2 separate regions of the Mus musculus genome follow, and region 2 is reported to be linked to region 1. The links are microRNA targets in miRTarBase. Many come from high-throughput screens and were not tested one by one. Region 1 holds a microRNA gene; the other region holds the end of a gene's coding sequence.
Evidence for each region. The annotated mature microRNA mmu-miR-9-5p reads UCUUUGGUUAUCUAGCUGUAUGA and lies in region 1 at 2,021-2,043, opposite strand. An mRNA with a match to its seed (bases 2 to 7 or 8) in the 3' UTR can be bound and repressed. Matches are read on the target gene's strand: a 7mer-m8 pairs with bases 2 to 8, a 7mer-A1 pairs with bases 2 to 7 and ends in A, and an 8mer does both.

Region 2: the mRNA of Pard6g is a reported target of mmu-miR-9-5p. Seed matches in the 3' UTR shown: 7mer-A1 at 887-893.

Annotation. Positions count from the first base shown.
Region 1 is chr13:83,737,458-83,740,863 of GRCm38, reverse strand. Mir9-2 (microRNA 9-2) reads right to left here and starts at 2,050; the gene lies at 1,979-2,050. C130071C03Rik (RIKEN cDNA C130071C03 gene) reads right to left here. Exons shown (of 4, transcript NR_152245.1): 4 at 1-2,694. It overlaps Gm51268 (predicted gene, 51268), which reads left to right and starts at 1,988; the gene lies at 1,988-2,043.
Region 2 is chr18:80,117,044-80,120,449 of GRCm38, forward strand. Pard6g (par-6 family cell polarity regulator gamma) reads left to right here. Exons shown (of 3, transcript NM_053117.3): 3 at 1-2,597. The coding sequence ends at 779. Among named protein-coding and RNA genes, the nearest start is that of Adnp2, 33 kb to the right of the region's middle.

The sequences.
Region 1 (3,406 bases):
GCACGTGTACAGCGGCCAAACTGAGAAGTTGTGTTATTAAAGTCTCTTGGCTTTTCTAAATGAAACTACCAGTGGCTTTACAGGTTTCTCTGGTGTCAATCTTACAAGAAGTTGAAGCTATAAAGAAAAATGTACTGTCCCTGAAGAAAACTTATGCATTTGGGAGTGTCAGTAATTTAGGCCATATGAAAGAAAAGAAGCAATTTTGGAATTTTTTTTCTCATTGCAATGCTTGTATTTATGTGCAAATGCCTATACAAATGTTTGCCTGATAAAATGTAACAGGATGCAAGGAACTTCAAAAAAGGACTACAGTGGTTTCTCCAAAGCCTCAAAGTTTATGCTGGGACTAGTGACTTTTAGATGAAGAGGGAAGAGGAGGAAGAAAAGGAAGAGGAGGGGGAAAAGGGAAAAAAAAAGCTCATCCGCTAGGACAATTCTAAAACAAAACAAGTTCTCTAACATATTGTGATTGTAATCAACTTTCTACAGACTGATGACTTTATAGCTTTATTTCCAGAATGTAGATTAGCATAAGTAGGCCAAGTTCCTGTGTGTCACACAAGGAAGTAAACAACCCGATGAAGTAAGTCATAATAATGAATGCTATGAGACATGACTTTAAAATATAACACAGCCAAAACAAAAGCCAAAGGTGGTCACAAGGCCCTAACCACATACTGAGGACTTCTCTGAGAAGGGCATGCAGTTCTGGGGCACTCTTGGCACCCTTTCCACTTGTTTTCCTTAAATGGTGAAAATTTCAACCAAAGGAGAAATCCAAATTTAATCATGGCCAGATTAAACAGAGGTTTAAAAATGAACAGAGACAGTACATAGCAGCTACCAACCAGTTGGTGTTGCCATTTGGGAGGCTGCAGATGGCTGTGGGTGGGAAATGCCTTTACTTTCTTAAGCGATGGAGATGAGTATGGTGTGTGTGTGCTTGATGTTTTTTTCATACCCCTACCCCCCAACAGGGCTGTCTGTCATAGGCTGCCGGCCAGGCTTTACCACTTGCCCCCGAGCGTGGGAATCGGAGCGTCCTGCCGTTCACATCTCCTGCTTTCCGTTTAGCGGAATCAATTAGGCAAGACAGACCCTCAGATTCCCCACCCCCTTTCCATTTTTGTCAGGTCTATATACGTCCTAATTATTTCAGTTTGGGATGCCAGAGCTGTTTCCTGGATAGACCTGATCATCCTTAAACAAAAAGAGAGGAGGCGCACACGTGGGTTGTGGCGTAAATGTCACTTTCATTTCCAATGCTAGGCGCAGAGTAAGACAGAACATTTTTTTAACACTTTGACAAGAGGGGAGGCGATCTCGTCTCCATCATGTCTTTCTGCTTCAGTAGCTTCCTCAAGGAAACCCTCTTGGAACAGAGAAGCATCTGTCCTTGTATTTTGAATAGAAGAATAAAAATCAGCCTTTGCCCCCACCCCTTTTCCCTGCTAGCTCTAAGTCTTCGGTAGATATAAATTATTAACCTTCCAGTATAAGCTTTACTGAAAGTCTAACTTCACAGAATTTGATGTACACACCCAAATACATAGAAAGTTTCCAGGCACAAGCTTCAAACTTGGGGGAGGGGCCTCAGATAGGAACAGCCCAAATCTACATAATTATGAAATCATTTTTAAGCGAGGTACCAGACATCACTATAACAGCTTTCTAAGAAAAAAAAAGAAAAAAAAAACCTCATATGTAAACGTTTGCTTCAAAATGAACAATATAGAAAATACATGCATCGTCACCCGTAAAAAACACTACACAATTCTCCTCTCCAGTTGTACAAGCCCCTCAAAGCCTGGCCCCTTTAGATTTCAATATGCGTGTCACTTAATTTTCTTGCATCCCACTTTCAATCATAAGATAAAAAAAGTTAGATTCAATAAGCATTCCTGACCTTTCTGGTTTTTACTGTCTCTTGGTTGCAGTCTTTCTTTCCGGAACGTTCCTCGGTGACCTTGAAGGAGTTTTTACTTTCGGTTATCTAGCTTTATGAAGACCAATACACTCATACAGCTAGATAACCAAAGATAACAACTCGCTTCCCTCACAAGGCTGCCTTCCTCTGGCTGAACTCCAGATCTCGATCCTCTTTGGCTTTAGGGAAGCGTAGTCCTCCGGGGTACTTGCCGCGTTTAAGCTTCTCCTTTCATGTAAACATGACCTGGTTTCTGTCTTAGTGTGTGCGGCTAGAACATCCAAATGAGATCTGTTGCATTCAGAGTTTATTCCAAACTTTTCCCCTTCCAGCAAGTAATCTCCAGTATCGTTAGCCAACAATTCATCTATGAGTATCAGAAATTAAGACCAGAGACTAAGGTGCAGCAAGCTGTTGGGGGTGAGCAGCAGTGTCCTTCTCTTCACAGGCCTCTATTTGCATTGTAAATTGCTTCATTCTCACGGAAGATTCTTTAGCCTTCCTCTACTGAGATGTATAAAGCCATCGGCAGTTTCCAACGCTGGTTAAAGAGGAAGAAGGGGGAAATCCCATTCTATAGAAGTGACAGCTGATTCAAAGATCTGCTCCGGATCATTGGGTTAGGCATCATGATCTTTTTTACCAAGTGCAGGCAGCTTGATTGCACATATCTTGTATGTGAATGTTTTAAGGGAGATCCTCGATTTCTTAGGACTTCTAGGCGGGCAGAGCATGCCCTCTTGCTGGCGTACTGCTGCCCCGGTCTGAAAGAAGGAGAAAAGGGCCATCATTGGAGGGGCTTTCACCGCCAAATTGTGGACCAGCCCGGCAAGGTCAAAGGTTTGAGACTGCGGGAGACCAAGGTAATGATGATGTCATGAGAAATCTCAAGTACATGGTTATTGATATGCATCAGTGGTCACCCAACTGCCCCACGCCTGCTGCCAGGAGTAGCACAGGCGACGGCGGCGGCGACGGCGGCAGCGGTGGCGGCGACGGCAGCAGCAGCTTTGCAGCAGTCCCTATATTCTCAATCAACATTTCATCCACTAGCACTACGGACTGCTCCTTGAAAAGCAACCCGCGGCCTTTTACCTCCTTGGCGCTAGTGTAGATCGCTCTAATATCCAAAGAATGGAGAAAATCTCTCTCTAAGGATAGATAAAAGCATTTCAGGTCTGGGGAACTTCTTTGCCTGCATTTCTCTTCTGGCAGATTGCATAGGCAGGCAGATGGAAGGCACTTTACTATTGCTTAAAGCAGGGCCTCGCTTTCTGGGGCTGGGAATCAGCTCTGTTTTTACGCAGTGAGTCGATGGTTACAATGACAATTTGCTTTGGTGTTATGTTTTTAATGGCTTTACAGCTCAGTCATGTTTTCTATCTGTGTACCGTGGCGATAGGGCAGCATATTTGTTCTGTAAGTTCGAACTGCACGATCTAAACAGTGGGGCTTCTTTTTTAAAAATGCTTTGCA
Region 2 (3,406 bases), not on the chromosome of region 1:
ACGGTCTGCGTCGGCGTCCCCACCTCAACATCAGCATGCCGCATGACTTCCGCCCAGTGTCATCCATCATTGACGTGGACATCCTCCCGGAGACGCACCGCCGAGTGAGGCTCTACAGACACGGTTATGAGAAGCCACTGGGCTTCTACATTCGAGATGGCACCAGCGTGCGGGTGACGCCCCATGGGCTAGAAAAGGTACCAGGTATCTTCATTTCTCGAATGGTACCCGGGGGCCTTGCGGAGAGCACTGGGCTACTGGCTGTGAATGATGAAGTCCTGGAGGTGAATGGGATTGAGGTAGCTGGAAAGACCTTGGATCAAGTCACAGACATGATGATAGCCAACAGCCACAACCTCATTGTCACTGTCAAGCCGGCCAACCAAAGGAACAATGTGGTCCGCAGCAGCCGCACGTCCGGCAGCTCTGTGCATTCCACAGACAGCACCACCAGTCACCACAGCCTGCCAGGTGCCCATGTCCTGCAGAATTCTGAGGACGTGGAGAGTGACGAGGAAGCCGACATTGTCATTGAAGGGGCTCTAGAACCTCAACACATTCCCAAGACGCAGGCTGTACCTCCAGGCAGCCTCTCCAGGGCCAATGGCACCAGCCTTGCTCACGGGCTGCACAGAAGGGACATGAGCCTGCATAGCTCTGGGAGGGAGAGCAACGGCAGCATCCACAGATTTCTCAGCTCTCTGAAGCCAGACCCCCGACACAGCCTGGTCCTCCCCCAAGGAGGGGTGGAGGAACATGGGCCAGCCATTACACTCTAGGGCTCGAGCCACTTGGGCAGGCTAGAGTCCCAGACAGACTGTGTGTTACCAAGACCCATGAGTGGCAAATATTAATAGCATGTAGTACTGTTAGATATATAGTGACTCCAAAGAGAAGCGCTTTCCATTTTTATGTCAATTTTAAAATAAGAAAAATAATTGTGTACTTCATCTTTTCTTTTTCATCATCATTCCTACAACCTTATTCTTTATTTAAACTTTTAAACAAGAATACTATTTTTATAGGGTTTTTCCACAAACTTAAAATATGCACAACTGCAAATTATCTGGGCCAGGCCTCAGTGCCTGTCCAGAACCTTTGTGGAGTGAAACACAACACAAAAGTGCAGAGAGTATTTTTAACATTTTTTTAAATACTTGTTTTTAAAATGAAGCTTTATAGATAACTTTTTAAAAACAGTAAAATTCATGTTTTTAACCAGTTCATGTAAAACTATCTTGTGATGCCCGAGTGTTCCACTGACCCCGTGTGGCTGTGACAGAGCAATGGCTGGGCTCCATCACAGAGAGTCTGTTTCCACACTGTTTACAACCAGCTCAGAAAGCCCTCTGAACTATACTCAAGACCCGCTGGGATTACAACGCCCTGCATCTGCGGAGCTGCCCCAGCCGTGACAGTCAGGCGGTCACTGCTGTCGGCGGCTCCAGTGGATTTAGGAGCCCAGCAACTCTGCTGGCTAGAAGGTGAGGCCAGTGGTAGCACGTGGGATTAAAAGCCAACTGTTCCATCCGTGTTTCCTCTGGGTTGGCTGACTAGGGCGGTTTTAAGGCATCTTCAGTAGAAATGAGTCTCGTACCTCTGAAGGCCCGCAGCCGTGGGTGAATGTGCATGTTAGCTAGTTATTTTTATAAGAGGAGATTCGAGCATGTCAGTGCCTGTTCCTAGAATAGCGATCCGTGGCAGGAATCATCTTAACTACAAGTCACCGTGGAACTTAAATAGTTTTGACAGATCACTTTTCTTTCTCCTTAGAGGTGGTGTATCAATGTCTGACCCAGTTAAATTTTATATGAATTGCGCCTTCTGTTTGGATACAGTGTTGGGAGAGAATATCCAATTGATTAACTGAGGACAAACTGACCAAGTGACTCCTTCATGTAAATAAAGGTTTTAAAGCATCTTCGTCTTCCAGGTCGAGTGCCCCAGCTGCTGCCCTTATGGTCTAGTGCCACCTGCTGGTAAGACGCAGAACTGTCCTGACTTCATGAATGCCAGATGGAGAATGCATCTCAGCATTGGCCTTTGTCCAGAACTCATACTGTCAAATAGTGTTGTTCCTTCCTTTGGGGAACTGTTTCCTGGGCAGAGGTGGCCTTGGTTAAGGATCGTTTCCTTGCCCTGTGCCTGTTTCTCCGTTATGTGCGGAGTGTCCACACAAGGAGAGCAAGATACTCCCCGGGCCTCGGTGAGGATCCAGGCACCCAGACTCATGGCTTCTAAACTGCTAAAAGCAACTGTTTTGTTTCCATGTTGCTGCAGTGATCTGGAATGTGCTTTACTAAGACAAATATTACAGAACCAAAAAAAAAAAAAAAAGGATGCTAAGTTCCTATAAGACTTGTTCTCGGCTATACTGTCACTTGGTGTATCAGTTTATTCAAAAGAAAAAAAATTTAAGTGAAGAGGTCAGACCTTTGTGAGCTATTGCCTGTGAGGAATTACATGTGTTTAGCAGATGCCTGAGAGTATTTTTCTAAACAGAACTCCTACCATTTTATTTCTTCTTTCAAAAAAAAATCTGTCATTATATATTAAATTTTTTGTTTTATATATCAGAATAAAACCTTTTTCTTTTGAGTTACCGTGTGTTATTGATATAGCACTACTTCTCTGTTACTGTTCTATTGCTGTGAAGAGCTAAGTAACTCATAAAAGAAAGCTGTTTGTTTGTTTGTTTGTTTGTTTGTTTGTTTGTCTTAAGACAGGGTTTCTCTGTATAGCCCTGGCTGTCCTGGAACTCACTTTGTAGACCAGGCTGGCCTCGAACTCAGAAATCCACCTGCCTCTGCCTCCCGAGTGCTGAGATTAAAGGCGTGCGCCACCACACCTGGCAAAAGAAAGCATTTAACTTCAGTTTCAGAGATAGTCCATGACCATCGTGGCAGGAAGCATGGCAGCAGGCAGGCAGACATGGTGCTGGAGACATAGCTGAGTGTAAGACGTGATTCACAAGTGTGAGGCTTCTGTGTGGGTGAAGAGAGCTACCTGGGAATGGTGTGGACTTCTGAAACCTTAAAGCCTATCTCCAGTGACACAGTACCAATAGGCCAAACACCTCCCAGTCCTTCCCAAACCTTTCCACCAACCAAAACCAAGACCAAGCATTCAAATATATGAGCCTACAGGGTCCATTCCCATTCAAACCTCCACTTGCACTTCAGTTGTGTTTAGAATGAGGGAAGAGAGTTCTTGTGCCAGTGGCAAGATGACGTGAGCACCCAGAAAGGACTCACATGCCATAATTGTTTCACTTAACCCTTGCACACTCCCTATGTGTTTTTATGACTACTTTACAGATAAGAAAAAATAGGCCTACACTCACATTGATGGATAATTCAGGATATTCCTTTGAAGTCTTTGCAGGAAGTGTTCCTGAGTCCTTACA